7 linked regions of the Callithrix jacchus genome follow. The protein of the gene in region 4 interacts with the protein of the main gene of each other region in a pairwise test. Links are inferred from orthologs where the notes say so. Each region holds a gene or a part of one and is shown on either strand. Other genes may lie near its edges. The genes, in order: P4HA2, NDUFB6, LAT, CREB3, SLC29A1, PTDSS1 and STX7.

Region 1 (4,449 bases), on a different chromosome or scaffold from region 4:
GTGGGGTCGAATGAGGGTTTTGTTCCCATAGTAGAGGCTTTAACATATTTATAGGCCAATGGGAAAGAGCCAGTTGAGAGCAGGTGGTTGAGCCTTCAGGAGAGAAAAGGGATGACCCACGAGGCAAGCTCCTGAGAAGGGTGAGATAGAAGGAAGCTTGTGTGGATGTAGCAGATGCAGGAGGGTTTCTGTGTGGTTTTAGCCCGGCTCAGGCCAGTGGCTGACACAGGCCGAAACGGAGGCTTATTCGTGTTTTATATGTATTTCCGAGTGTGTGCTCCTTTCCCCAGGTCTGGGCCGCCTGCCTGGCCCATGTGCCATAGGGAATATCCAAACTGGGCCCGGGCGGAGGCTGGGCATCTCACGCTCTGGGCTTGTTCCCTGAGAATCTCTGATGAGATTCTCAGACCTTGTTTCCCCTCATTCATGAGAGGAAGGTTCACAGAGCAGGCGTGGGAACCTGCCTGGCCGCCAGGGCCTCCTCCCACTCAGGCTGAGGTTTGCTGCATCTCTTCTTATTCTCTTTCAGACTGGACTGGCTGAACCAGGTGTCCATTCTTTTTGACCCATGGCATAAAGAAAAGTTTGGGCAACCCAGTGCACCCCCGGATTGTTACCGCCCCCCCCCCCACCCCTGCCAGCCTTTGATGGGCCTCCTTATCAATCCATCATCCCTGTACATTATACCAGGACTGCCTGAACCGGATCCCGGGACTCTGAACCCTTCTGGGAGCTCGACCCTGAGGATGGGCCACCCAGTCTTGGTCTCCAGGGTGTGGGCCCCAGGTCCCTAGTCTTCCTCAGCGTCTTCTCCACTGGTCCGCCTCCTCCCTCTAATACCCAGTTCCTAGCCCGGTGACCCCAGTCTCCTGTTACAGCCTCTGTGGTGGTGCCGGGAAGGGGCCCGTGTTCCCGGCAGGGCACCCCAAGCAATGGGCCTGAGCGGAGGCAGGGAAATCCCTCAGCCTCCAGGGGACGCTCTCCTCACAGCCCCGGCGCGGGGATCGGGTCGTGGCGACCTCACCAGGCGCCCGGGGGCTGGGAAGGAGGGCGGGCCAAGGCCCGCAGGTGGGGGCGCACCAAAGCCAGGCGGGCGCGGACTACGTGCGGTGGGCGGCAGGCGGCATGAAGGGTGCAGGCGGCCAGCTCCAGCTCCGGCTCCGGCTCCGGCTCCGGCTCCCACGCTGGTTCCCGCTCCCGCTTCGGCTCCCACTCCTACGCGGTCGGGTAGCCTGGGCGTACCCAAGGGTCGCAGAGGACAGCGACCCCCGCCAGGGCCCTCGGAGCTCGGAGCCAGGACGCAGGCGGGCGTGAGGAGCGTGAGGTTAGGACCAGGCTGCGGCTCAAGTGGGCGGAGCCCCGGCCGCGGCGGGAGGCGGAGCGGCCGAGGGAGGAGGTGCCTAGTGGACTGGGCGACGCCGCGGGAGGTTCTGGAAACGCCGGGAGCTGCGAGTGTTCAGGTGAGCGCGCCGCCGGCTCAGCCGCCAGATCTGCCCCGGGGCTGGGGCGTGGGCAGGGGTCGCTGGACCGTGCGTTCTGCCCGCGCGGGGCTGAAAGTTAGGGGCCGGGGCCTGGGGTCGCGCCGCTAGCAACCCGCAGCGCAGTCCGGGCCGCAGCCCCGCGCCCTCAGCCGTCTGGGTTCCTGTCCCGCTGCCCTCACGCCTTCCCGAACTCAGTGTGGTGAGGTCAGCCGCCGCCCTTCGTGCCGTCCGCTCGGCTGTCGGGCGGGGCTGGGAACTTGGTGGTCCTTCCTTGTCGGGCTCCCGGGAAGCGGCGTCCTGACCCCCGGCTGCCCGCTGTTGGGAGCGGGGGCGCTGCGTTAGCCTGGCCCTGAGGGGCCGGTTCTTGTTGGCAAGGCCCGCTCTGCTCCCTCGCAGGGGCTGGGAGTCCGAGGTCTTGTCTGGGCAGGGTCCAGCTTGGAGCCCATTAGATGGGCATTGGATCAGAAGGACTTTTCTCATCCAGACATCCCTGTGGAACCTGCGTTGTTTTTCCTTGGCAGCCGCAGAGACCCGTGAAAATTCGTTAACTAGTTCAACAAACGGGACCCTTCTGTGTGCCGGAAACCGCAAGCAGTTGCTAACCGTGGGACAGGCGGACTGGAAAAGCTAGTGGGAAGGTCCGGGCCCAGAGCAGTGTGGTGAGCGCTGTGCTTGAAGGGAATAAGGGCTCTGGGTATTTGGTAGAGGACTGGATGCCTCCGGCCAGGGGACTTCCTGGAGGAGGTGACCCATGAGCTCAGAAGAAGGCTGGCAAAAGGGCAGCGTGGACAGAGGAACAGCCTATGTGAGTGGGAGCAGAGACCTTGGCCGATGTCATGCTTTATGGCATTGTAGTGGAAGCAAGGTGATGGGGAAGGGACACTGTAGGGGCTAGCTGTCCATGGATGCTATCCACAAGACCCTGGAGTGAGAAGACAGTGGTGCCTGGTACTGTGCCCTGCATATGTAAAATGCCCAGTTGACCCTTGCATCATGAGTCTGGATCAGGGCATTTCCTGCTTCAGGTATTGCTGGGCAGCCCAGGTGGGTCCCTGGCCTTTGTATTCTATTTGACCCTTTAAGATGGTGTAGGAGAGCAATGGAATCCCTCCCAAGACTGAGATTGTTGTCTTTTACTGTAGAGTGACACCTGAGATTTGTGCTTCTTGATATAGACCATCTGGGGCCTCACAGCCCCAGCCCTCTTGTAGGAGATCCTGGTCCTAAGAGCAAGGGTTGGAGGACATTACTGTGTAGCTTGGGGCATTATTAAATGTCCCAGACTTTGCAGAGATCCATTGTTCACCTAAGAATTTATAGGATGTTTTCGGGATTTGCTGCTTGTTCTCAGCCTATATCTCATCTGACATAACAGGTTCCATAATTTAGTCTCTGTTAAATAAACCAGGATTTCCTTTGGCTAATACTTAAACTGCCCCTGAAGTGTCCAAGGTGCAGCCTCTCACTGTGGTTCAGGGCCTCAGGGCCCAGTCTGTCTGCTTCTCCCCACTCACAGAATATTTGGTCTTTGAATTCTTTTTTTTAAAGGCCTCTTTACTCTTACACAGCCAAGTGTCCACTATGTGGCCCAGCCAGTGAAGCCACGTAGCAAGGATGGAGTAAGTTGGCTGGGGCCTCATCCCAAAGATGCTGTCATAGTGGATCACCCTGCTTCTCCGAGAGCTCAGTAGGTAGACCCAGTGACTTTTAAGCTGAGGCATTGTCTGTGGCATGTGATAGGCCCTTGTATCCTGTAGAAAGCTCTGCATTGGGGTACTCTAGACAGTGCTTACTTAGTCACCTATTTAGACTTCCCCCAGCCGATCTCAGTTTATCCCTTGAGTGCCTTCTGCCTGTTTGGCTTCTGACTAGAGTGTGCCTAGGGCTGGAATGAGGGAGGAGAGAGAGGAGGTGGCTGAGGCACTATTCTTGCCTGTGGGTAGCTCATACTCTGAGATTGCTGCTTCATACTGGCAGCTGGCCATGTGCCAGGGGAGGAGCCTGGCTGTGCTAATCAAAGGAAGAGACTGTGTGGGTGTAGCTCTGAGAAATGAGTCAGGTGAGAGAATCTAGGGTCTCCTCATTTCCTAAGAAGGCCTCCCTTTTTCACTCTGCCTTCCCACATCCTTGGGAGGGTCTGAGGCTAGAGGCAAGGCCTTGGCTGATTTGTGGCCACGCTGGCTGATAGTGTGCAGAGGGCTGGGGGTGTGTCCCTGGCTCCTGGTATCTGTCAAGAGTTTACTATTATGCAGATGTACGTTGGCAGGAAAAGATGTGAGGCAAGCACGTGCAAGTCCAGCAGAGTGCTGGAGTGAGAGTTAAACTTTGGAAAAGTTGCTCACATCTAGCAGTTTGGACATTGGACATTCCCTAGGGTAAGACATCAGCCTGTCCTAGAGCAAAGAGGACTGGAAGGTCCTGTGGTCTGTAGGCTTTGTGCTAGGGACATGGAATGAGGGAGAGAAAGACAGTTGTTTTTTTTCTTTATTTTCCCTCAGAGCAGAGAATGAAAAGTCTGCATGATATACTGGAGCCCTAGAAGAGAGGTCTTGTTCTGTGGCGTCAGAACTCTTAACCTGAAGGGCAGAGGATTAAGTGTTTGGGTAGAGTGCTCTCTAGCTCAGATGGAATCTGTCTGAGCCTGGAAACAGGCCAGCATCTGCTTTGGGCCTTTCAGGAACTGCTTGCTTAGAGTATGGCCTGTTTTGTACCTGGAACTCTGAGGGCCAGGGTGTAGTGGAGATCCTCAAGCCTGGGTACTTGTCGGAGCCTGGAATAAGCAGGTCAGAGGCATATAAGTGCATGAGATCCTAGAGTATTGATCTAATCCCCTGCCTTTTGCTAGAGAACGTTCCTTGATGAGCTTTAGAGCCAGTGATTGACCAGTTCCAGGGTTATCAGTATATTTACATTATACCTGACTCCAGTCTCTCCTGAATTAAATGTTTGATCTCTTGAGGTGCTTCTG
Region 2 (4,685 bases), about 2.9 Mb from region 4:
TAAACCTGTGTTTCAGTTACAATTACTTATAATACCTAATACAATGTCAATGCTCTGTCAATAGTTGTTATGCTGTATTGTTTAAAATTCATACCACTTTTTTTTTTTTTCCTGAATAGTTTCTGTCTGTGGTTGGCTGAATATGTAATTGTGGAACCCACAGATAAAGAGGATTGACTATTTGCCCTTTTTATTTTACCCTTATAAAATCTCATCCTCGAGTTCATGTCCTTTGTAGGGACATGGATGAATCTGGAAACCATCATTCTCAGCAAACTGACACAAGAACAGAAAACCAAACAATGCATGTTCTCACTCATAGGTGGGTGTTGAACAATGAGAATACATGGACACGGGGAGGGGAACACTACACACTGGGGTCTGTTGGGGGTGGAGGGGCTAGGGAAGGGGTAGTTGGAGGTGGGGAGGCTGGGGAGGGATAACATTGGGAGAAATGCCTAATGTAGGTGTGTGGGGGGGGAAGGGATGGAGGCAGCAGACCACCATGGCATGTGTGTACCTATGCAACAATCCTGCAAGATCTGCACATGTACTCCATACTAGCTTCATGCACTTAGGCCCCAGCAGAGCAGACCAGACCAGACCAAACCAGAATGGAGTCGTTTGTGCTAAGTACCACATAATCAAACAGAACTTTGAAATAGGCCAGTTTTCCAAAACCAGGAAATTCCTCTAAACCTGAGTCAGTGAAATAAGGAAGTCCCTTCTGCTTTAACCCTAAAAGTAACTTTGAAACAATGAATCCACTTTTTGTTCTGTTTCTGCTTTCTTCAGCCCTTTTGCCAATAAACCGACCGTGGCTGCTCAGCTGATCAGAACACTCATTCTACTCTATAGAATGAAGTGTTTTCTGATTCTAGAATCACAAATGAGTCAATTCAGATCTTTAAACTAATACATTGTAATGATGTCTTTTGACTGTTGTACTTTATTCAAGCAGTCCTTTATTTAGGAATTTGGGGGTAATTTCCAATATTTTGCTATTATGAATCGTGTTGACTAATCGTGCATGCCCTTTGATATTTTCACCACATATAGTTTTGGGTGAAAGCATGAACGCATCTATGCATTGTTGCTAGATATTAAGCTACTCTTTACACTGTTGCTGTACAAATGGAGGGACAGATGAGACAGCTGCCCAGGGGCACTTTAGCAGTTACCGGCACAGCTGGGATTTGAACTTGGATGAAACTATTTTCATACACTCTCTAGGTCATTCCAAGGTGGGAGAGGCAAGCGAACAATTTTGTATCTGGCCAGCATATTCACTGAAACACATATGCTTATCCTTCCTGCTCCCAGCATACAAATTCTTCCTGAACAAAACCTACAGTCCTCTTATTTAGCATACTTTCGTCTAATATTGCCACTTTTCCCAGACCCCACAACTAAGAGTAGTCTGCGTCCCCACAGGCTCGTAATCCAGGCGGGTAAAGCGGAGGTAGCCGGAGAGGAAATTGGAGGTGGAAAGCTTTGCGCATGCCAGGACACGGCTCTTCTCGCGAGGAATCTGGGCCCCCTGCAAAGGCAGGACCAGGATGTGACGTAATAACCGCGCGCTGCCCCCAGCGGTGCCCTCAAGGTCGCTTTGCAGAGCTGGAGAGCGCTTAAGTAAGGAGGCCCTAGTTTGAGGGCGCTCTGTGTCCTTTTGCCTTAATACCAGCGGCGACATGTCGGGGTACACTCCGGATGAGAAACTGCGGCAGCAGCAGCTGCGAGCGCTGAGAAGGCAATGGCTAAAGGACCAGGAGCTGAGCCCTCGGGAGCCGGTGCTGCCCCCAGAGGCGACGTGGCCTATGGACAGATTCTGGGATAAGTTTTTGGCAAATAAGTCCCCTTGGAGGAACATGGTGAGTGGTGAGTGGTGATCCTTCCCAACGCATCCCACCGCGGCCGGTAGCCTGGACACTGGACGTACGCTCCCTGTAGCCCCACTGATAACGTTCCGTGATTGGTGACACTGGCCTGTCCCGAGAGTCCTCCTGGAGTCTCGGGAGGCAGGAGTCCAGGAATATGTATGGCTTTGAGAGAATCATGCCTTTTACCATCAAGTACAGTGAGACGGAGGCGAATCTTAATACTTAGGTTTTCCAGGACGCTGCACGTTTGATTTTCTTGACTGTAGAAATCTTTTCCCAGAATTAATAGTCAAGGACTGGCTGCAATTAAAATTCTGTGATTTTACTATTTGAGGACACTTGTCTAACTTTTAAGTGTGAGGTTCTAGAGACCAGGTAACACAGCATCCAACTACCAGAGGGCACAACTAGCCGCTTGCTGGTAGTACAGCTCCATGTGATCAACATAAAAGACAGGGTCTTGTTGGTATGCCTAGTGAGCTACGTTGAAGAGCTACATTTATAAACTACCACACTGTACTTTTAACACAGTGTTTCATTGAAAAATGACATTTGGGTCTTTGAAGAAAATCACTCATTCAGAAGCTTTATTTTCAAGGCCTCTGGGTATTTTCTTGAGGTCTGTTATGGGTGATAAACACATCTCAGAATTGCTTTCAGTTACCTGCAAAGCTTACTGATAATAGTAGTAATAATAGTAACACTTGGGTGCTTGCTGTGTGCTTGGCACTCTACTGAGGGTTTTACATGTGTTACTTCATTTCTTTATTCCTGTAAGGTAGAAACTATTCCTAATCCTCACTTTAAATGTGAGGAAACTGAGACCTACAAAGATCCAGTGATTTGCCGGTGGTCAGGGAGCTAGGAATTGAAGGAGTTCATATTGAAATCAACATGTATCTATTTCTTACTGTGCTACAAATTCTAGTGCAACAGAATTGTTGAAAATTTTTCTGAAAAAGTGGTATTGGATACTTATTTATGGTGGTAAAATTCAACTCTTCTCCCACCCTTTGTATCCCAGACATTATCAGGATATTGTCAGTCACCGATTTAAAGCTGAAGTCCCATCCATCAGCGAGTGATCTAAGGAAGTAAATAAATAATCATGTGTTGAAATTCACCTTACCTTACTTTGAGTTAATTTGTTACTTTATAATCATATCGGTTATAATTCTTAGACTCTGGATTACCCCTTCCTTGAATGGATAGGTGTGTTTTAATCAAATTGGAGGACATGGGAGAGTTCCATTTTTAGTTTGTTTTTTCTTTAAATAACGTTGCAGAAGGCATTTTGGAGTGAGCTCGAGGCACCCCATCTCAGTATGTAAAATGTCCTTTTTCCAGCATTGATGTCAAGGTTGTCTGCCTTATACCTAAAATAATGTGAGTGGCATTGATAGCTAAATCAGAGAGATGACTATACCTGAAATATTCTGTAGGTTTGATTTCTCTAGTTAAATACATTAAAATTATTCTTTTATTATTTTGCTATATTTTATATTTAACAAACTTATGATAAAGTTAGTTTTAGAAGTCTTTAAAAAAATCTATAAATGCCTTGCTATAGTCTTGCAAAATACTACTTATCTTAAGCTTTTTGGTTTGGATTTTGTAGGTATCTTCTGAAAAACTCTGCATTTACTAATAATATTTAAGTAGATGAAGTTAGCCACAGACTATAAGAAAATAGGTACCATTTAGAGATTTGTAAAATAATAATGACATTGTTACATCATTGATGCTTTTTGTTCTGCCATAAATATAAAATATGGGATATGTTTAGTTTGTGTATGTGTTTTTTTCCCCCCCAGGTCTATAAGGTATACCGAAAGAGTATGTTTATTTTTACTTGTGTACTTATTCCTGCCTGGATTGTTCATTATTACGTGAAATATCATGTGGCTGTAAGTATTCCTTTCAGAATTTATTTTCAATATTGTCCAAAATTATTTTCTTTGTGGGTATCTTACTCTGCTTAGTGGAAATAATCTGTCACTTGTAAACTGATTTTGATCTACTTTGAATTCCCTTAGGGAAGAGATTTAATGAAACAAGTAATTGAAAATAGTTTTTCAAAAATTGTGTCACTGTATTAGTTTACAACTTGAAATGGATTTCTCATAGGAATAGTATTTAAAAGATCAGGATGTAGTGACCTAATAATATTAGGGTAAATTCAGGTCATGAATAGGAAGGGAGAAAAGAATTTCTGCTCCTTTATAACAACCTATATCTGGTATGAGATAAAAATTCAAAATAGACAAAGCTTATCTTTGTCCATCCCATTTCTGTTTCCTTCATTTTATCTGATTCTTCACAACTTTATTTATTTAGAACTCAGGATGTCCAGATGCCTGAACTTTTTCACTGATAATAGATCTTGTATGGGCTGATTCAGCTGAGCCAGTTGTGGTTTTTAAAGGCTCAGTCTGGTGCAGGATGTTGGATCCCACGCAGAATGAGAAGGGCATGCATTTTGGGAAGTGGCATGGCAGAGTGAGCAGTGGTGGCTGTGTAGCATGGAATGTTGGAGCACAAAAGAGTGAGGAGGGCATTCATATACCAAATGAGGGGTGTTAGATCCTGAGTGGGTTGCAGGGGAGGAGGGTGAGCACATCTGTTTGGGGAACAACAGTGGCAACAGCCTAGTATAGGATATTGGAACCTGAGCAGAGGGAGGAGGATATCTGGAAGAAGGATGGCATGAGGCAGCTGACAACTCAGAGTAAGATGTCAGAACCTGCTGGGCGCAGTGGCTCACGCTTGTAATCCCAGCACTTTGGGAGGCCAAGGCGGGTGGAT
Region 3 (4,493 bases), on a different chromosome or scaffold from region 4:
GCTGCGGTGTAGTAGCACGAACACAGCTCACTGCAACCTCAACCTCCTGGGCTCAAGCGATCCTCCCACCTCAGCCTCCCAAGTAGCTGGGATGATAGACATGAGCCACCGCGCCTGGCTGAAACCTCCTTTCCTTTGCTGGGCTCCACTTGTCTTTCTTCCTGGATCTCAGGACATACCCTCCCGGCTCTTCCGCAAGGCTCTCTGACTTCCCTGGCTCTCCTGTCTCCTCTCTCCGCAGATCTCTGACCGCCTACGCCGGAGCTGGCCCCCCTCCTTCTTGTCCGAGTTCCGGGCTCTGCAGTTCTCGCTCATGCTCTGTGCGTTTGTCGGGGCGCTGGGCGGCGCGGCCTTCCTGGGCACCGCCATCTTCATTGAGGGCGACCGCCGGCGGGCGCAGCTGCACATGCAGGGTCAGTTAGGGGCTGTCCTCTGCCCAGCTTCTTGATCTGCCTGTCTGTCCGTCCATCTGTCTGCCCACTTCTGTGCACCTGGTGGCTCAGTCCACAGTTTTCTCCTCGTGTCTGCGTCTACCCCTTGGGCAGCTCTGTGACTGCCCCATCCATTTCCCGCTGCCTGTTTGCCCTTCTTTGGCTTTGTCTGTCCATCCGGTTCACCCTGGCTCTGACCCTCCCTCTGCAGGCTTGCTGCGCGAGGCAGGGCCCACAGATGACCGGATCGTGGTGCCCCAGCGGGGCCGCTCCACCCGGGTGCCTGTGGCCAGCGTGCTCATCTGAGAGGCCGCCGCTTGCCTGCCTGCACATCTGCCGCAGCTGGCCCTGGGTCCACCCCACAAGGGGCCTGGGCCTAACCCCTTGGCCTGACCCAGCTTCCAGAGGGACCCTGGGCCGTATCCCAGCTCCCAGACACTACATGGGCAGCTCAGGGGAGGAGGTGGGGGTACAGGAAGGGGATCCCCCTCCACAGGGGCAGCCCCAGGGGCTCGGTGCTATTTGTTATGGAATAAAATTTGTAGCCAGACCCCAGGTGCCTGCTCTTGTCTTTCTCTGGGTGACCTCTGATCTTGCGTCCCGTCTTCACCCCAGGGCTCCTGAAGACTGTGGGTCACCCCTTGGGGCTCTGAGTGAGTCTCTGCCCTTCTGGTCTGGGTGACTGAGAGCGGAGACTGCTGTCCTCTGTGTGAGCTGGCTTGGTGTGACTGTGAGTCACGCCCCTGCTTCCCCGGAGCCTGCCCCTTGCCTCTCAGGACTGGCTGAGGTGGGGGTGGGCACTGCCTTCTGCACCCCAGAATTCCTGCTGTCAGGGCCTCCCCGCTTGCTGCCTCCCCAGGCCCTGGATGTGGAGGCCGTGGCTGCCAGCCAGCAGGTGGCTGTCCCATTCCTGGGGGCCCAAAGACCCCTGGTGAGAGCCTGGGGTGGCTCCCGGGCCTCCTCCTGCCCCCTCCCCAGTGGCAGGGTGGAGTGGGAAGGGGGCGGGTACAGCCGACTGAGAGCTCGATGATTTCCTGCCCTCGCCTGGTGCTCACCACAGCTTCCTGCCGCAGGCAGGCGGGTGGGCAGGCACAGGGAGAGGCGGGCGCTGAGGAGGGGCGGGTAGGGCTGGGACACGGGTGGCTGGGTCCCCCAACTTCAGTCTGGGCCCTGGTCTGACCACCCGGGGAGCAGAGACTTCCCACAGCCAGCTGGACGCCCACTCAGCCCAGAAAAAGAGGGGACCCATCCAGGGAGCCCCGGGGAGGGAACTGCCGCCTCCTCCTGGGCTCCCACGCCACCTGCTGCCTACCTGCCCCCTGCTTGGTCCGATCTTCACCCAGTCCTCACCTGGTCCTCACCCTGTCCTTGCCTGGCCTTGGCTCTGCCCTTGAGGGGCCTGTGGGGTAAGCCGGCCTGCTCCGAGCTCCCCTGCAGATGGAGGAGACCATCCTGGTCCCCTGCGTGCTGGGCCTCCTGCTGCTGCCCATCCTGGCCGTTTTGATGGCGCTGTGTGTCCACTGTCACAGGCTGCCAGGTGAGTGGGAATGGTGGGGTGCCTGGGGCCTGGGCACAGTGACGGTATCCTCACCACTCCCAGCCCCTGCGTCTGTCCTGGCTCTGGCCCTGCCTCCGTTCCAATCCCAGTGTCTCTGAGAGCCCCTGGACTCCCCACACCTTCTGCCCTCAGCACCCCGTGTTCCTGCCTTAGCAGCCCTCTCTTTCCCAGGCTCCTATGACAGCACCTCCTCAGATAGGTGAGTCTGCCCTGGCTGCCCTGGGTCTCCCTCCACTCCCCACGGTGGGGCAGGACTGGGGCCTCTCCCAGCCCCAGCCCCAAGCTGTGTCTTTTTTACCAGTTTGTATCCAAGGGGCATCCAGATCAAACGACCTTGTGAGTACATTGAGGGTCCCCTACCTCCAGTGTCGGGGAGAGGGTCCCCTGGTGTAGGAGTGTGTGTGAACCTTCCCTCAGCCCCTGCCACCCTGGGGCTGCCCACATGGCCTTGACCTGAGCTGGGAGAGGGGAGATGGCACCCCCAGGCCTGTCCAAGGTGCACCGGTTTCAGGAGCTTAGTCTGTTCTTTGAGGCCTTGACGATGTCTGGAGTCCTTCTTTCAACTTGGTTCTGTGTCCTCAGACACACTCGCCCCCAGGCCGCCCACCTACCCACCTGTCACCTCCTACCCACCCCTGAGCCAGCCAGACCTGCTTCCCATCCCGTGAGTAGCTGCTCCCCTACCCCTCCAAACGCCCCTCCACCCCCTCACTTTCTTGGATTGGTAGCCCCTTTCCCTTTTGCAACTGCCATTGCCCCCTGAGCCCCACCTCAGCCATGACCCCTGACCTTTGACTCCCAGAAGATCCCCACAGCCCCCCGGGGGCTCCCACCGGATGCCATCTTCCCGGCGGGACTCAGATGGTGGTAAGTGTGGGGAAGGGCCGAGGAGGCTGGGGCCGGGAAGAAGATCGTCCTGGCCTGAGCTGACTCAGTCTCCCTCTCTCCCTGTCTCTGAAGCCAACAGCGTGCCGAGCTATGAGAACGAGGGTGCGTCTGGGATCCGAGGTGCCCGGGCTGTGGGGGGAGGCTGGGGCCTGTCCTGGGCTAGGCTGACCCCTGTGTTGTTACCCCCAGAACCAGCCTGTGAGGATGCGGATGAGGATGAGGATGAGGATGACTATCACAACCCGGGCTACCTGTGAGTGGCCAGGTGGGAGGTGGGAGGTGGGGGCTCAGGCTGGGCCTGAGCTCACCAGCCCGTTTCACTTCCTTTCAGGGTGGTGCTTCCCGACAGTGCCCCGGCTGCTAGCACTGCCGCCCCACCAGCTCCTGCGCTCAGCACTTCTGGCCTTCGAGACAGCGCCTTCTCCAGTGAGTCGGGCATTTGTTTTTATTTTTTAATTATTTTAGGGACAGGCTGGAGTGCAGTGATGCCATCGTAGTTTGCTGCAGCCTCGAACTTCTGGGCTCCAGTGATTCTCCCAAGTAGGCTACTCGGTCAGCCTCAGCCTCCCAAGTGGCTGAGACCACAGGCGCATACCACCACACCTAGCTTATTTAAAACAATTTTTTGTAGAGACAGGGTCTCGGTATGTTGCTCAGGCTGGCCTTGAACTCCTGGGCTCAAGTGATCCTCCCATCTCAGCCTCCCAAAGTGCTGGGATTACAGGCATGAGCCACCGTGTCCAGGCCTGTTCTTCTGATTTTCTTAACTTTCTCTCTCCTCTTTCCTACCTTACTGTCCTTTCCTTATATCATCTGGGAGATTTCCTTGACTTTATTCTTCAACCCTTCCACTGCAATTTCATTTATCCTGTCCAGAAACTCTTTCTTGTTTTCTGACTGTTCTTTTTTTATAGCCTCCTGTTCTTGTTTCATGGAGGCAATACCATCTTATACATCTCTAAGGATATTAATTAGAAGCTGGTGTGTGTGTGTGTGTGTGTGTGTGTATGTGTGTGTGTGTGTGTGTGTGTGTGTGTGTGTTTTCTTCTGCTCCCTGCACTGCCCGGTTTCCTTTGAGCTGTTTTTCTTCCTTCCTTCTGGTCTCATCCTGCCTGGTCATATCCTCTGGGCTTTCCTCAATGTCCAGCGTTCTTTAGTTTTCTGTTGCTTTGCTCTCTCTGTATATACTTGTCCTGGGCTATCAATTCTACACCCTGGCCTTGTTTGCCATCCAGATTCCTAGTTTGCTCTCTTCTGAACTCCAGACTCTCCAAGTACTTCATTCATTCATTCATTTATTCATTCATTCCTTCAGAGTTTACTGCGGTGCCCTCTACTGGGCTAATGCTATGAATGTAACAGTTCAGGGGGCAGACTGTTCTGATAAAATAGCTGGCTGGGTGTGGTGGCTCACTCCTGTAATCCCAGCACTTTGGGAGGCCGAGGAGGGAGGATTGCTTGAGTCCAGGAATTCAAGAGTAGCCTGAGCAATATGGCAAAGCCTTATCTCCACAAAAAATAAAAAAAATTAGCCAAGCCTGGTGGCACATGCCTGTAGTCCCAGCTGTTCAGGAGGCTGAGGTGTGCGGATCACCTGAGCCCAGAAGGCAGAAGTT
Region 4 (2,459 bases):
CTGTCTCCATCTATCTAGTGGAAGTGGCTATTCAGAGGATGCCAAGTTAGTATGTATAACTGTCATCTCTCCCAACAGGGCCTGACTTGGGAGGGCTTCCAGACAGCTGAAGGCTGCTACCGTACCGTGTGGGAGCGCCTGGGTCTGGCCTTCCAGACACCAGAGGCATACTGCCAGCAGCGAGTGTTCCGCTCACTGGCCTACATGCGGCCACTGAGCATCTGGGCCATGCAGCTAGCCCTGCAACAGCAGCAGCACAAAAAGGCCTCCAGGCCAAAAGTCAAACAGGACACAGGACTAAGGACAGGGCCTATGTTTGGACCAAAGGAGGCCATGCAAACCTGAGCCCAGAGTGAGCCCTCTGAACTGTGGGAGGGAAGCACTAACATCCCAGCCTCCAGCCTGGCCTTTCCTCCTTCCCTTCTGAACCTCCTGCAGCCCTGAGCCATCAGGACAATCATACCCTTTCCCTTCTCCCCACCCAACTGTGCCAGTAAATGGGGGTTGGGGGTAACCCAGGCAGCATTGGAATCACTTATTTATTTATTTCCTCACCCCTTCCCTCACTGTGTGAAATGTTCAGCGAGGTCAGTTGATTTCCCCAGGTACATTCATGGGGTGACAGACACATGGCTACAAATAATAAAAGACCCAGAAAGCCAGTAAATGTGGTGTATTTGAGCCCTCAGTCTTTCTGACAGGGCACAGAATCTGCAGCCAGCCCTCGCCCACCCATTTTTATTCAGACACAGATGGGGAGCCCACCAAGCTCTTGCTGAGACCCCTCCACATATCCTTGTATCTAGCCTGAGTATCTGTCCTGCAGGATGACAGAGGGGCTATAGGTAGAAAGCCTTACCCCCTTTCTTGTGAGATTTGCCTGCAGAAGGAGGATGGGATCTCGGCAGAGAGGCTCTGAGAAGAGGTCAGGGAATAGCCACTCCAGGGGACGCTCTGCCCTGAGAGCCTGAGACATGTAGTGTAGCAGGCAGGAAGAGTTGCCAGGGACCTGGAGTACATGGTCTGAGCCGTCCAGCCACTGGTGTGTGCTGTCTTTCAGCACCTCTGACTGCAGGGTAGACAGCTCCAGCTGGTAAGGGTCCTCACTGGGGAGGGCACGAAGCTGGCGGAACAACACTGAGGAGACAAAGGAGACAATCTTCAGAGGCCAACCCAGGCTCTCCCCTTGCCCATGCCTGAGAGCTATCCTTAAGCCTCTTACCTCCATGCTCAGCTGGCAGGCTCTCTCTTGTGTCAGAGGAGTACATAGCAGGTACAAGGAGGAGGCAGAAGGAGAATAGCAGGACCTAGAGCACAGGAAAAAGGAGATGAAGAAGGGCTCTGGACTGCACTGCTGTCCCTACCAACTAAGCAAAGGATTTCTCCCCTCATCACCATCCTCACCAAGACACAGGTGCTGCTGCTACTGGTTTTGTTTGATATCGCAATCACCATGGCCTGGAGTTTCCTCAGTTGATCTAGAAGGGACCTAGAGGAAAAGGGGGGCCAGTGGTGAGCATCCTCTGGCCTGGCACCCTAAGACACAATGAAATTCCTATTCAGGACACCTCCATCTCTGCACTGGATCCTCTCTCTTATTTTCATTCTATTTTTGCAAATGACTTCTTCCTCTCTGTGGACAAAGTGCCTGAAGTTCCTCGTTAAAACAAAACAAACAACAAAAAACAAAAAAACTTCTCTGCCCTGACTTAACCTCCTTTGCAAATATCATCAGTAGTTCCCCATTGTCTGATCAGCTATGCATATAATCCTCACCAGGCATTCTCTGTGTTCTCTACTTTCTGGCCCAGCTCACCTGTGTTAAGAGTTCTAGCCCAAGAGGACTATGTTGTATTCTCTCTGCCTAGAATGCTTTCCCATGGATTCCCAACTCCAGAATCCTAACTACTATCAAAGTCCATGAGGTCTTTCTTACCCTCTTTCTCTTTCTTGGTACTTATTCTTAGTTACTTATAAATGTATTCCCCCCTACTGTATTCTTAGTTACTTGTAAATGTATTCCCCACTACTATGAGCTTCTTGGAATCAGAGACCTAGTGAAGGCCAGGCACCAGACCTAGCATTTGAGAGCTGCCCAGTTAGAAATCAAGTGTAAGGCAAGGGAAAAAAAGTGAGAAGGCATTAAATGAGGGGCACAAGAAGGCAGTGGTTTGGAGGGAATCTTACAAATTCTGTTCCTCCAGAAGCTGTACTTTGTTCTGAAGCTCCATATTCTGGGCTGTGTATTTCAAGACCCTGGGGGAAATAAAGATATGGGTATATGACCTGTATCCTCCCTTCAAAAATCTAACAACTGAGTCTCTCTCCCTTTCATACCTGCTCTCTAAACCCCCAACATACACCTTCTTCTTCCTGCGGCTCTCTTGAGCAGATCTTTTATTTCGAATCTTCCTTCGCACACGTTTCAGAATTTGTTCCTCCATCTGAAAGCAAACAGG
Region 5 (4,729 bases), on a different chromosome or scaffold from region 4:
CGGCACCCAGCAACCTCCTCTGCTTGGGAGGTGGCTACAGAGGGGTGTGGGTGCTGGCTAGGAGCCCAGCAGGGCTCATGCCAGATGGACTTCTCTCCAACAATAACAGCCCTGGCTGTTGCCATCAGCTAAGCCAGCAGGGACCCAGTGTGGGTGGGGAGAGGAACAGCCTTCCCTAGTCTGGCCTGGGACCCTCACCACTTCCCTCCAGTTTTCTTCCACCCCCAACCCCCTTTGTACACAATTGCAGCCACTGGCCCCCAGCCTGGTCATGCCTAGCAGATCTTCTGACCACTAGGCCTACCACCCCCACAGACTCAGAAACCAGGAAAGGAAGGTGGGGAGGGAGGAACGGGTCAAAGCAGAGGGGAGAGGAGGGCTAGGAGAGGAAGAGAGAGAGACTGGACAAACATGAGGGTGGGAATTTGGGGGCCATGGACAGACATGAAGCCACTCTCAAGTCATGCGGCAGTGCCTAGAAAAATACCACTGAGACTCATCTTCCTGCCCTCTGGTTAGGGCTGGCGGGAATGGGAGGATGTAAGGGAGGGTTGGGAAGGAATATGTGTCATCTCTGTGGGGCATGGAAACAGAAGGCTGGGGACACCCATTCTGGAGTAGCTTGGGGAGAGCCACTGACCCTAAGTAGAAAAGCTACCTCTCTCCTTAGGGTCCTGTTTCTCTGGGGACAGCGTAGGACTACCTTATCCTTATGATGTGAGTACTGCTAGTTGTTAATCAGTGTCTGTGGCTTCTCTAGGAAACAAGCCCTTCCTGTCAGTGGGCTTGGGGTGGACAGCGTGGGTTGGATTTTCTCCTCAGGACCTTTCCAGCCTTTGGATCATCCTCCAGCACTGGGTGGTGCTGGAAGGGCAGGGAGTGCCCCCCACCCCATGCCATTTACTGCCCAACCAAGAAAAAGGGCCTCCTTCCCCCTCCCTTGGAGAAATGCACTGGACCACCTCTCAGCATACCCACCCCTTCCACATACTAGCGAAGCACGGACTCAGCAACGCTCCTGCCTCTCAGGAGTATCTCCGACTGGGACAATAGAATTCACTCAGGATGTAAGGCTGTTCCTGGCTTTCTCTCTTCCCATCTCCAGCTGTGCCTCGGTTTTCCAAAGTGCTGGATTAAGAAGGGGTGAATTATGAGGGGGCTGCAGGGCTGTGCCCCGCCCCCCTCCGCGCAAACACTAGCACGAGGCAGAGCCATACACCCCCTCCAAGTCAAAGTTGTGGGTGGTGTGGTGTTTGCACGTCTGTGGCTGGGACTGGATGTGTCAGGGATGGGAAAACCCATCATGCTGGTCACAGAACAGAGGAGGTGGGGACAGAAGCAGTTTTGAAGGAAAAGAAGAGGAGGGGGCCTGAAAGAAAGAAGGGGGAGTTAAAGGGAGCGCGCTGGGAGGAAAAAGGTGCAGTGTGGAGGAAGCGCGGCGTGGGCGGGGCTCGGGGAGGGATAGCGGAACATCTGAGGTGGAGTGGGCCAAGGGGGGCTTCGGAGCCGGTCTGAGCAGCGGGTGTGTAGATGGAACAGTCTTGAGATAGATTTTCATGGGAGTTTGTGCAGGTCCCCAATGTGGGGCTGTACCCTCCAGCCCCATGTACCCCATACGATGGACAGCCTTGGTATGGCAGGGCCCAGAGAGGTCCTATTTACTGAAATAACACGACCACGCGGCCCTGGGGGCGCAGGGGCTCGGGGTGGGGTCGCAGAGGGCGAGGAGGCGCCGCGGGGTGGCAGGGAAGGACAGGGGGCGGGGCCGCGGGCGCGCGGCTGTCGCGGAGGTGGCGGTAGGCGCGGGTTGGGGCGGGCCCAGGGGAGGGCGGGTTTGAATGTGCCCTGGCGGGCGCGGGAAGCTGCAGGGAGAGCGCAGATCTCAGCGCGGGAGCCGTGCTTCTCCGGCAGGTGCTGCCCGGGGCGGGGACTGGGGACGGCAGGGGCGTGATGCCGCTGCTTGCCTGCCACGAGGGCCGGGAGGCCAGGCGTTATGCGCGGCCCTTATGAGGGACGCCGGTGGGGCCCCAGGGTGGAGCGTGCGGAGCCGCGCAGCACGTGGCGCGCACGGGCTGGGGAGCCGGAGGACCCTGCGGGGACCGGGACCCAAGCGGGGCTGGGTGGCCTGTCACCTGGGCCTAAAACAGTCTGCCGTCATGGTGACCTCCGCACGGGGCAGGCGAGTGGACCGGTGAACCCGAGCGATCTGGTCGGTATCAGGGAGGGGCTGCCTGCTGACTGAGCTGGCGGAGGGGGATGGGGATGGGGTTGGAGGCTCGCGAGCTGAGATGCGGGGCTGTGTCTTTAACCCCGGGCTTTTACTGGCCAAACTCGTGTCCCTGGCGTCTCCTTCCTGGGCGCGGCCTCATTTACTGATTTACTGTGAGAGTAAATAAGAGGGCGAAGACACACACACCTCGGCTTTCCTTACAGGAGAGAGCACTCATAGGTCAAGGCTGGCTCCAACCCTGCCCTCACACCTCTAGAGATCTCTCTCCAGCCCAGTAGTCCCTTTGCCTGCTCCTCTTGGCAGCCTACTCCTCTCCAGACCCTCCAACTTTCCTTCTGCTTGTGTAAGCTCCCCATGCCAGAATGCATGTGATGGGATGAGGCTGAGGTGCCCACACTCAAGTCGGGCTGGGAATAAGCCTGATCTCCACCTCATTTTTCTCTTTAGTTGGATCAGAGTTCCCCCCACCTCCCAGTCTGCAGGCCTAGCTAAGAAGCAGCTGTTATACCTCTCTATCCATCCCCAAAAGAGCCTAGAGTAACTTGAACGTTGAATTTAGATCCTAGCTCCTCCACTCTTGAGCTCTGTGACCTCAGGCAAGTGACTCAACCTCTCTGAACCTCAGCTGGCCCCATCTGTTTAGTGCTACTACTGGCTCATGCTTGGTTGTGAGGGAAAGATGAGAGATCTGCAGGTAGTGGCTGGACCTGTATGAGATCCTGGGAATGGAGAACTGCAGGAGAGGTGTTGGGAGTCTGGGGCAGGGAGGTACTCAGTTTGGTGGCTGCTTTCACCTCAGCAGGCCAAAGCATGGCTGGAGGGACACCAGATGCTCTGAGCTGGTGTCAGATCCCTGGTTGCCGCTGACCAAAGGCAGACAAGCAAAACACGAGAGCTGGCCAGCTGAATGTTAGGATATGGGTAGGAGGAGAGGGCTCCCCGTGGAGTTGAATTGTGCCCAAGACTGGGATGAGGGCTCCTGAGAACAGAGAGAGCAGGGATGTTGCTGGGGAGAGGGCAGAAATACATACTTCTCTAAGAAAACTGGCCTGAGCCAGTTTTACCCAGGAGAAAGGGAGCTGATCCCCCACCCCAGTCCCCCATCTGGTTTGAAGCTGCACCCGGTCTTAACTGCCAGGAACCTTGCCTGTGGGGTGGGAGCGGAGTACAGGGCATGCGGGTATGAGGTAAGCACCTAGAGGAAGGGTCCCTCCTACCTAATAGAAAACCTGAGCCCTGAGCCTTTCCCCGCCCCCACCCAAGTAAAGACCTCTTGCCTCCATCCCTCTAGAAAATTTAAATGTGGTTATTCACCACTCTGGTGCCTAGGACAGTGCCTGGCTGGCATGCAGAGGTCCTCAGTAAATATTTTTGAAGTGGTGATTGGAGGAATCCTTCTGCCTCCATCTGGAGGTGTGTGGGCCAAGGGGCCAAGGAAGACCTCTGAGAACTTGGAGTTTCTCCAGGGAGGGTTGAGAGGAGCTATGGGGAGGTGGGAAAGCCCATGAGGGTTTCAGGGTGCCCAGCTGCCTGTTTGTCTGAGTGGAGCCTGGAGCATGGCTGCACCTACGAGAGCTCCCCTGCTGAGACTCCCTGTTCTCTTATCTCCTGAGCTACAGGGGTGGCTTTTTATCTCCTGGGTGTGCTTCTGCTTCTTTGCTTGCAAGGCTTCTCAGAATGGGGCCCCATGAAGCCTGAGGGATTCTCTCCTGATACGCCCTGTGCCACCTTTTTCATTCTGGATCTGCACCCAGGAGCCCGTGGACAAGGCCCACTGCCTGATCCTAAACTAGGAGCACCTTCTAGGGACTTCCCAGGCCCAATCTTCTCCAACCCTTCTGCTGGCCAGTCTGGGCACCTGGTGAGTTCCCAGAAAGGGAGGAAGGGGAAGCTGTCCTTACCCAAAACAGCAAGGCCTGGGCCAGCTGGGCCTGAGTGTGGGGGATGTGCCAGCACACATCTGCCTGGCTTCGCATGCCAGCCAATGGGAAAGCTGGTTAATCTGGTGCCAGGGGGTCTCCCCCTACACAAATGAGGAGCAGGAGAGGGAAACTGAGGGAGGATAGGAGATTTGGGATTTGCCCCTCTACTCTTATTTTCAAAGTCACTTTGAGCAAGGGTAAGAGGACAGGAGCCTGTGACCGAGAGGAACTAAGGGGGTACTAGGTGACCCTGGGGTCAGGACTTGGAGGATGGAGAGGGGCCTGGCTAGGCTGTGGGAAGGGCTGTTCCCCCACATCCATTATGAAATATTTTCCTGGAAAACCAGCCAGCAACTAGGAAGCCCCTGGGCAGTGGCTGGAAAGGAAGATTAAGGTGCCACCAGCAGAGAGGCTGGAATCTGGGGTGCCTCTAGGAGAGGACAGCCCCACTCTAACCATGAATCCAAGGCCTCCCAGGGAGGGTGGAGAGACCAGACTTGCGGAGAGGGATCTGGGGAGCCTCTGGCTTGGCCTCAGTCATCGTCACTGTTGTGGCTGCTGCAGCTCTGCCTGCTGT
Region 6 (4,467 bases), on a different chromosome or scaffold from region 4:
CTAAATGTGCCAAGTTTTCCCTCAAACCTACGGCATTAATTCTCTGCACAGTAGTCCGTAAGGGCACTAAATGGGAAGCAGAAGACCTTGGTTGTGCTACCTTGACAAGCTATTTCTGGCAGCCGTCTAACAAAATGTCTAGCTCATGGTGTGGGGGTGGGGAGTCAATAACCATTCTTCAGACATTTTTTGTAAAGGCTAAGGGTACAATAAGATGATTCATAAGGCCCCTATCAGCTCTAACATTTTTGACGTTTAAGCACTTCATCCTACTTCAAACTCCTGAAATCCCAAATTCACCCTGAAGCCTTTCCACACTCAACACCCCTTAAACATCAGGAAGATTCACTTTCAAATTTTATCCAGTCATTAAAAGATCTTTGTGCATACAACTGTTTATCTTTGCATTTTTATTTACAAGTGCACTATCCTCTCCACACCATTTCACTGTGGTTTACACATTTTAACTGATTAATTGTTCACTCACAAGAGAAGGGCTGGGTGTCTCATCTTGGGAGCCACCCTTGCAGGGACTATTCTCCACTGTCCCAGAGCCCTGAACTGCTTTAATGCTTACGGAATGGAAAGAAATCAACAGCAAGTACAGTTAACTCACTTTCTTACACAGTATGCAAAAGCGGGTAAGGCATGTGCAGATGTGTATAAAAGCCCTGTGAGGTAACCGTAAGTCTTCTAACACGGTCCTTTCATCAGGAAAATTACAGAAAACCCTTAAAGAAACTCTAGTTTATTAACAATTGATATATACAGCTCATATATATATGTACCCAGTGCTTTGCTAGAAAAAGACACTGAAATAGTTTTTCGAGGGTTCAAGATTTCTACCTATGAAAGGTTATAAATGAAATCAGGAAAGAAAGGGAAGTTATGGGGGTAGCTTCCGCATAAAGGGTCTCTCAATACTTCCCTAGGCCATTTCAGCCCATTTCAGTTCCCCAAACCCAACTTCCGCAGGAAGGCAGAGCCCCCTCCAGAAGATTCTCACACAGCGCTAATCAGCAAGCATGGTTGAGTTTTCATTACATCAGCCGGGGAAAAACACAAAACCAAACCAATCACCCAAGACTGGGCCGCGAAAACCTAAAGGCCCTGGGGCGCGGCCTGGACGCAGGTGCATCGGGACCTGAACCCCTGCCAGGAGCGCCATCCTCGCGCTGGGGCAGCTCCTGCTTTACCTGTGGGGAGGCCTGCGCCCCGTAGCGGGTGCCCCGGGGACCGACCGACTCGCCGCGCGCTGTCCCGCGGCGCCGCCCGCCCGCTCCGCCGCCAGCCAGGCCCAGCGCAGCGGCGCTCCCCGGCCCACGTGGGCTGCGGCCGGAGTGGGCGAGACCATGTGTCGGGCTGCGCGGGGAGACAGCGGGCTGCGTGCGCGAGAAAAAGTCAGCTACGGGGCCCTGCTGCCCCTCTCCGGCACGCCCCTCTCCTGGAGCCCTGTGGACTTCAAGTCTGAAGGCTGCTCAAGTGCATAGAGATGCCTCAGCCGGGACAACAGCGTGGGGACGGTCAGCGGCGCCCCCTGTCCCAGGCCGCGGTGGCGGCGCCGCGACCCCGCCCTCTCGCGCCTGTCCTTTCCTTAGCTCCCAGCCTTTGCTGGGCGCCAGACCCGGCTTCGCAGTCCGGCGATTCTCCTACTGTGGCTCGTCACCCCCGGGGTCCCGGCCTCCGCGGGCTGGGGCCGCCGCCACCGCGGCAGGACGGGGAAGCGGGCCATGGCGTCCTGCGTAGGGAGTCGGACCCTGAGCAAGGATGATGTGAACTACAAAATGCATTTCCGGATGATCAACGAGCAGCAAGTGGAGGACATCACCATTGACTTCTTCTACCGGCCTCACACCATCACCCTGCTCAGCTTCACCATCGTCAGCCTCATGTACTTCGCCTTTACCAGGTGGGGCGGCCGGGCGGTGCAGGGGGCGCGTCCAAGGGCGAGGGAAGAGGCGGGAGGGAGGGTGGCAGGGAGGATGGCCCGGCATGGCTCTGGGTGAGGAAGCCGGCTGGCTGCTCCACGCACACGCACTGGCAGCCCGCCGCCCACGCAGGCCCTCCGCCCGCCCGGTGTCTCACAGCAAGGTAGCCTGCTCCCCCACCCCTCAATGCTGCTTCTCCATACAGCGCCTCCGGTTACACAGGGAACGCACGCGAGTCACTTAGCACGATCGCCCCCCCCCATCCCCACCCACCACACTCAGCATCGCTCCACACAACATCACGACGCGGGGCCCACCTCTGCACCGCTCCAGCCCCCGTCCGTACCCAGCACACCGCGTGAATCATCTTGTATGAACCACTTTTAGCACACACTGCTACACACATGAAGCACCCCAATCCACAGCGCCTGTACGCACCATACATAGGCCCAGGACACAACCTAGATCCTTTCCTGTGGAACTCCAGTATTCGGCATGATCCGTAATGCACACAAAATCCACATGTGCGCTACATACACCGTCTTTCCTGTGCAGCACTTCCCATCTGCATTGCACACAAGTAATCCAGCATAATCCTCCCCCCAGCCTCAAACACTACCATCTGTACCACAGAACAAACTGCCACTCTAAACACACACATCACAGCGGACCTTTCCCTTCCAGCACAGCCCAATACCCATAACCTTCTGTGTGCGTAGCTGCACAGACAGCAGCCGGCGGCACACATCACGCAATACATACCCTACTCACTCATTACCTAACATACATGCTGAAATGTGATCTTGTCCAGCTATTTTAATGGTGCCTGGTATATAGTAACTGCTGTGTGTTAAATGAAACACTTAAACCTCACACAGCATAACACAACTCTCTTATTCCCCTGAAAACATACACATACATTCTAACATATACCTATTCATAGGAGCTGCCCAGCCCAATTCTTGAACACACCTCATGTAACTCTATGGCACTGCACTTGTGGCCCCTCATCCCTAACCCAGGGAACGAATTTATCCCTTGTTCTTAAGGGGGTACACACCGTGGTTCCTACTTGGAAGAATTTGTACTTTCTGAATGAACCTCTTTAAAGAAAGGAAAGTCACACCTCCCTCGCCATTGTGGCTTAAAAGGCCAAGTTAGAGTAGTGTAGTTTTTGAGCCACACTGTTGGTTTCAAAACTGGCTGTGTGTCCTTGGTTAAGTTGCATAAGCTTGCCCTGAGCCTCAGAGGCCACTCTTGTAAAATGGTGATGAAATATGTACTTACCTCATACAGGGTTATGAAGATTAAATGAATGTGTGCGAATGCATTTAGGAGAGTCCCTGGTGCACAATGTACAATTCCTGTCAGTTACTTCTCTCCCAGTATTTTTATCTAACAATCAAGGTTCTCTGTCAGGGTCAGCAGAAAATGTGTAGGGATATATATATTGGGTAATCATAAGGATTGAGAGAACTTCTAGTATTTGGAAGGAGGAGCAGTTAAAGGATACTAAATGTGTTGTGACGTATGTGACAGCGCTGTACAACATCAAGTAAATTGCCTCCTACACAGTCGTTTATGTACACACACGAGTGCGGTTGTGCCTCCCTTGGGAATAACTGCAGTTTTTCAAATCCTCATAAAACTAATATCCTCCCACATCACACTTGTTCCTTACCTCCAGGATTCACTTGACTCTTGGTTCTTGTTATGTAAGTGTTTATCCATTTGAAAGAATCTACCTAAAGATATAAAGCTTAAGTAACAATTACTTTTTAATGATTGAGGGATCTTGCCACTATTACTATAAAATCTGCTAAGGTTGTGCAACAGGATAAGACCAGACCTTTCTACAGTACCTAACCAGACGTATTTCTAGCTTTGGAGAGAAATCAGTCATGTCGCTACTATGGTCACTTTCAAATAATTCATTATGTTGTGATTTTATCACTTAGTAGCTGTGTGACCACATAATTTTGCTAGGCATCAGTTTCCTTATCAGTATGTAATATGAAAATATCAATATATTAATCTGTCAGGATTATCTGTCATGAGGATTAAATTCATCTTTTTAGATAATCTGTGTTTAGCTCAGTGCATGGCAAGTATTAGGTGCTTAATAAGCATTAGTTGTTATTATGATGTGATTTCATTGTATGCTAGTGTCTTCTAAGTTATATTTGTTATTGAATGAGTATCCTCAGTAATTGAGAAGAAGGATAAAAGCATTAGAGAAATAGACAGTAGATAACATAATACCTGTTTCATATTAGCTTCAGTTTAGCTTCATCTTATGTGTGGGTTTGAAATAATGAAATTAGTGAGGGAGTTTCTTTGGAAATTAGAAAAATAATTGTAGTATTTTATTTTAAATAATGAGAAGCAAGAATGAGCCATTTGTTTCAGCCTTTCATCTTTAATATTATTCTAGGTCCTTTCAAAATAGATTTCTCTTTCTCTCTTCTTATATAGAAAGTCACATTCTGCCAGGCACGGTGGCTCATGCCTGTAATCCCAGCACTTTGGGAGGCTGAGG
Region 7 (3,933 bases), on a different chromosome or scaffold from region 4:
ACATGGTGAAACCCTGTCTCTATTAAAAGTACAAAAAATTAGTCAGGCAGGGTGGCATGTGCCTGTAATCCCAGCTCCTTAGGAAACTGAGGCACAAAAATTGCTTGAATCTGGGAGGCAGAGGTTGCAGTGAGCTGAGATTATGCCACTGCACTCCAGACTGGGCCACAGAGGGAGCTGCCTAAAAAAAAAATTCTTTCTCATGCCTTCGCCCAGCATTATCCAAGCATCTTGATAAGAAACTGACTAAGAACAGAGCAGCAGCCCAAGGCTATAATGTAAGGCTTACTTCAAGTTGCCTGATAGAAGACTCTCTTTCATGAATAAGGCGGAGGTCATCCTCTGTAATTTCTTCATCCTGCACCTGCACTTGAGGTTGAGTTTGGCTAACAGAAAAAAATGAATGTGGAAAAAAACAAAGATTGGTTGGTATTCAAAACAATGAGACTCATTTCCTATTTAAGATATATTCATTAAATAGGAGATTTTATTTTTCCAAGTCACAGAACTTCTCACTTAAAAAATTCTAAGACTATAATAATCAAATTTTACTCATTTTTCATTTCACTTATATCATTTTATCTAATATGAGTTTAGTGTTATTACTTAATCATTGGAAGTTATATTGGGCAACTGGGTATTTCTTCTCACCTGACTTAAACCTCATATAAGGGAATGTGTCTATTAAGTCCATAAATATTTATTTGGAAAATTTTATATATAATAAATACTTTATAATTAGTGAATTTGTTTTTCAAACTTACTCTCTGTTTTCAATGTATAAAAAACTTAAGGTATTTATGATATAATATACTGAAAGTTTTAATTCTGTTCTAGGGACCTTAATGTATAAACTTTGAAAAATTACCTTTTGATCTGTAAAATATTTTCTATTTCTTACCTTTCCCAGGATACAAGATTCCTTTCTTTTGAGCTGTCCTCAGGAAAACCGCCCTGAATAATTTAGTAACAGGATGGAATGAGAAGGGGCAAAGAGAGGAAAAATAAGAAAAAATAAACAACACTCATATTTTCCCTTATGATAATCTAAACTGATTTACATATACGTGCACGCGCGTGTGTGTATGTGTGTGTGTGTGTTTGTGTACAGAGAGAGAAAGACATTCTTGTTTTAATTTTTCAGGTCAACTGTTTCAAGTAATAATATAATTATAAGTAATTTTATATTCTAAGTAGACAAGAAAGGAATTGACTAAATATTCTAAAGTGTTAGAATACTAAATATTCTCAAGTATTACTTGGTTAAAGCTTAATGCAGTCTTGGAATCCGTATGTTAAGGAATAAGAAAACAACTCATGATACTTTATAAGGGAATTTAAAATTAGATTAATTCAAAATTCTACTGAAAAGTTTCATTTATTTTCTCCAGGCTCATGTTCATTTTCAATATTCATACAACATACTTGCACCATTCATCTTTGTCATCTTGGTGTAATCCAGGAGGAAAGTGCTTTCTATATTAGTGTGTACACAAGCAGAAAGCCTCAGTGCCAAGACAATATGAGAATACTAATGAGGACTTGATCCCTAATCTTTTCTGACAAATTATGTCTCTAAATTTTTACATAATCTATAATATTCTATAAAATGACACAGAAAAAATAACCATAGTAATACATAATTATCATCCTTCTCTAAAAATGGAGAAGAAAAGCATAAAAATAAATATTCAAGTGCTGATTTCCAAGATATTCACAGATCGTATGCTACTACTGACTTTCATGGGCCCCTTAGAAAGTAATCATGTTTGGGAGGCTGAGGCAGGTGGATCACGAGGTCAATAGATCGAGACCATCCTGGTCAACATGGTGAAACCCCGTCTCTACTAAAAATACAAAAAATTAGCTGGGCATGGTGGTGCGTGCCTGTAATCCCAGCTACTCAGGAGGCTGAGGCAGGAGAATTGCCTGAACCCAGGAGGCGGAGGTTGTGGTGAGCCGAGACCGCGCCATTGCACTCCAGCCTGGGTAACAAGAGCGAAACTCCGTCTCAAAAAAAAAAAAAAAAGTAATCATGTTTATTTCTAGAATGTCTCTCTAAATACTTACAGACACTCTGGAACTGGCTCTTACTCGAGCAACAAACTCTTTCTCTCGCTCAGCAGCCTGCCTCTGGACCTTCTGGAAGTTTGTCAGTGATGTTGTGAACTCTGCCACTAAGCGATCTTTCTGTATTTTCCTTTGACGCTAGGGGTAAGAGAAAAAACAAGGCCAAGTAGAATCAAGCTGTGAAGTTCAACAGAATTTGGTAGCTGTTTTATCATTAGCTGGCTCTTTATCTAATCCTGAAGTTTTCACTTACTCCCCAATTACCAGGCCTTACGGATTAACTCTCAATAACATTCTGACAGTATGTCAAACACTGTACATATTTAACTTGAGGCAAAAGACCCATTGTGCTGGATTTGTCACCTCAAGTTTTCACGCTGCTAAACACTAGCTCATGATTTTGAGCCTATTTTAAGCAATTCCTTTTTAGACAAATAAAGCCTTATGCTTTTAGCTAAGTAATAACTTCCATTGCATAAGCAGGGAAATAAATATGTTCCCCCAGGACACCTCACATGCTGAATGAGTCTGCACGTTGCATGAAGTCAGACCTGGGAGGCCAGGAAATAATTACTCAGGAAGCATTTTCTGAGAACTTACTTAATTACGGGTCAGGGCAAATGCATGGAAATAATTTTTGCTTTATTGAACCACAGGATACTACCTGAGCAATTAAATATAGTTTTGTGTTCTGTGAACTAATGTCAAGCAGAATTATTTTTGATTTCCTTTTTAGCATAAGAGTTCAAAGATCCTACAATGCATTTGATTTTTTTCACATTCAATACATCAACAATGGGTCTTAAAGCTTCATACCTGTTCACTGGGGGTGGTGGGCAGAGATCCAAACTCTTTAATGTACTTGTCTGTTTCTTTGGCAAGCTGGTTAGTATACTGCTGCTTCTGTTGCCTGAAGTGAGAAAACACACATTATGGCCAAAGGATTAATATACTTCTTTAAGCTGCAACTCTGCCATTTAAATCAACACTGACAAATAGTTGTATAAAAATTGCCTTTGCATAAACTGGCTCTGAACTTCGTAAAAAAAAATTCATGTCCTTTTCTTTGATAAATATTGAGCAAATATTGTATGTCAGGTTCTTCACTCACACAGGTTAGCTGAGCTTAGAGAAATAAAAATCAATGACCATTTAGAAACAGATGAATCAAGTCAGAGGAAACTTGAAAAGGAGACTGTTGGACGTCTGATCCTTTAAGTTTGAGATATTGGGGATGTGGGAGCCTTTTATCCACATCTCACACCTGGAAGGTGAGGTGAGCAAGAAAAGATTTGTTGCCTTAGACTGTACCTCATTCCCAGATCTTAGTTATATCTGGCCTCTCCTATTTCTCTATATGACCATGTATATGCTATAGATACTTAAAAAAAAAAAAAAAAAAGGCCCAAGCTTGCCGGTTCATGTCTGTCACCCCAACACTCTGAGAGGCTGAGGTGGGCAGATCGTCGTAGGCCAGGAGTTTGAGACCAGCCTGTCCAACATGGCAAAACCTTATCTCTACCAAAAACAACAAAAATTAGCCAGGTACAGTGGTGCACATCTGTAATCCCAGCTACTTAGGAGGCTGAGGCAGGAGAATCACTTGAACATGGGAGGCGGAGGTTGCAGTGAGCTGAGATCACACCACTGTACTTCAGCCTGAGCAACAGAGGGAAACTGTCTCAAACAAACAAATAAACAAAAAGAAAAGAGGCAATATTGAAGCAAGTTTACAATTATTTAAGTTTGTGGTGGAAAAAATAATAGCATTTCCTTGTAAAGGGAAAGAACACAATAAATAAAAGAAGTAAATCACAGTCATTCCTTGGTATCTGCAGGGGATTGGTTCCAGGACCCCTGTGG

Evidence for each region.
Region 1: the proteins of CREB3 (region 4) and P4HA2 interact in a two-hybrid assay, tested with the Homo sapiens proteins (2 studies listed by BioGRID and IntAct). The two-hybrid records come from large-scale screens. The link is inferred for Callithrix jacchus from reciprocal best matches to the Homo sapiens genes CREB3 and P4HA2.
Region 2: the proteins of CREB3 (region 4) and NDUFB6 interact in a two-hybrid assay, tested with the Homo sapiens proteins (2 studies listed by BioGRID and IntAct). The two-hybrid records come from large-scale screens. The link is inferred for Callithrix jacchus from reciprocal best matches to the Homo sapiens genes CREB3 and NDUFB6.
Region 3: the proteins of CREB3 (region 4) and LAT interact in a two-hybrid assay, tested with the Homo sapiens proteins (2 studies listed by BioGRID and IntAct). The two-hybrid records come from large-scale screens. The link is inferred for Callithrix jacchus from reciprocal best matches to the Homo sapiens genes CREB3 and LAT.
Region 5: the proteins of CREB3 (region 4) and SLC29A1 interact in a two-hybrid assay, tested with the Homo sapiens proteins (2 studies listed by BioGRID and IntAct). The two-hybrid records come from large-scale screens. The link is inferred for Callithrix jacchus from reciprocal best matches to the Homo sapiens genes CREB3 and SLC29A1.
Region 6: the proteins of CREB3 (region 4) and PTDSS1 interact in a two-hybrid assay, tested with the Homo sapiens proteins (2 studies listed by BioGRID and IntAct). The two-hybrid records come from large-scale screens. The link is inferred for Callithrix jacchus from reciprocal best matches to the Homo sapiens genes CREB3 and PTDSS1.
Region 7: the proteins of CREB3 (region 4) and STX7 interact in a two-hybrid assay, tested with the Homo sapiens proteins (2 studies listed by BioGRID and IntAct). The two-hybrid records come from large-scale screens. The link is inferred for Callithrix jacchus from reciprocal best matches to the Homo sapiens genes CREB3 and STX7.

Annotation. Positions count from the first base shown.
Region 1 is NC_133503.1:76,233,546-76,237,994, forward strand, and holds the start of P4HA2 (prolyl 4-hydroxylase subunit alpha-2), read left to right. Parts: upstream 1-1,402; 5' UTR 1,403-1,460; exon of another isoform or gene 1,461-1,685; intron 1,686-1,999; exon of another isoform or gene 2,000-2,002; 5' UTR 2,003-2,140; exon of another isoform or gene 2,141-2,286; intron 2,287-4,449. UniProt on the Homo sapiens protein: Catalyzes the post-translational formation of 4-hydroxyproline in -Xaa-Pro-Gly- sequences in collagens and other proteins.
Region 2 is NC_133502.1:139,755,139-139,759,823, reverse strand, and holds the start of NDUFB6 (NADH dehydrogenase [ubiquinone] 1 beta subcomplex subunit 6), read left to right. Parts: upstream 1-1,571; 5' UTR 1,572-1,691; coding exon 1,692-1,871; intron 1,872-3,694; coding exon 3,695-3,787; intron 3,788-4,685.
Region 3 is NC_133513.1:28,976,589-28,981,081, reverse strand, and holds the start of LAT (linker for activation of T-cells family member 1), read left to right. Parts: upstream 1-1,591; 5' UTR 1,592-1,868; coding exon 1,869-1,968; intron 1,969-2,160; coding exon 2,161-2,188; intron 2,189-2,290; coding exon 2,291-2,325; intron 2,326-2,571; coding exon 2,572-2,653; intron 2,654-2,791; coding exon 2,792-2,979; coding exon of another isoform or gene 2,980-3,066; coding exon 3,067-3,130; intron 3,131-3,208; coding exon 3,209-3,303; intron 3,304-4,493. Other genes in the region: SPNS1 (protein spinster homolog 1), read left to right, coding at 643-1,113. UniProt on the Homo sapiens protein: Required for TCR (T-cell antigen receptor)- and pre-TCR-mediated signaling, both in mature T-cells and during their development.
Region 4 is NC_133502.1:142,640,732-142,643,190, reverse strand, and holds the end of CREB3 (cyclic AMP-responsive element-binding protein 3), read right to left. Parts: intron 2,445-2,459; coding exon 2,338-2,444; intron 2,257-2,337; coding exon 2,188-2,256; intron 1,490-2,187; coding exon 1,405-1,489; intron 1,308-1,404; coding exon 1,223-1,307; intron 1,138-1,222; coding exon 803-1,137; 3' UTR 659-802; downstream 1-658. Other genes in the region: GBA2 (non-lysosomal glucosylceramidase), read left to right, coding at 79-345. UniProt on the Homo sapiens protein: Endoplasmic reticulum (ER)-bound sequence-specific transcription factor that directly binds DNA and activates transcription. Plays a role in the unfolded protein response (UPR), promoting cell survival versus ER stress-induced apoptotic cell death.
Region 5 is NC_133505.1:52,687,518-52,692,246, forward strand, and holds the start of SLC29A1 (equilibrative nucleoside transporter 1), read left to right. Parts: upstream 1-1,836; 5' UTR 1,837-1,838; coding exon 1,839-1,911; exon of another isoform or gene 1,912-1,993; coding exon of another isoform or gene 1,994-2,209; intron 2,210-3,849; coding exon 3,850-4,091; intron 4,092-4,729. UniProt on the Homo sapiens protein: Uniporter involved in the facilitative transport of nucleosides and nucleobases, and contributes to maintaining their cellular homeostasis. Functions as a Na(+)-independent transporter.
Region 6 is NC_133517.1:30,976,286-30,980,752, reverse strand, and holds the start of PTDSS1 (phosphatidylserine synthase 1), read left to right. Parts: upstream 1-1,617; 5' UTR 1,618-1,730; coding exon 1,731-1,909; intron 1,910-4,467. UniProt on the Homo sapiens protein: Catalyzes a base-exchange reaction in which the polar head group of phosphatidylethanolamine (PE) or phosphatidylcholine (PC) is replaced by L-serine. Catalyzes mainly the conversion of phosphatidylcholine.
Region 7 is NC_133505.1:139,117,776-139,121,708, forward strand, and holds part of STX7 (syntaxin-7), read right to left. Parts: intron 2,981-3,933; coding exon 2,887-2,980; intron 2,209-2,886; coding exon 2,071-2,208; intron 955-2,070; coding exon 902-954; intron 387-901; coding exon 290-386; intron 1-289. UniProt on the Homo sapiens protein: May be involved in protein trafficking from the plasma membrane to the early endosome (EE) as well as in homotypic fusion of endocytic organelles. Mediates the endocytic trafficking from early endosomes to late endosomes and lysosomes.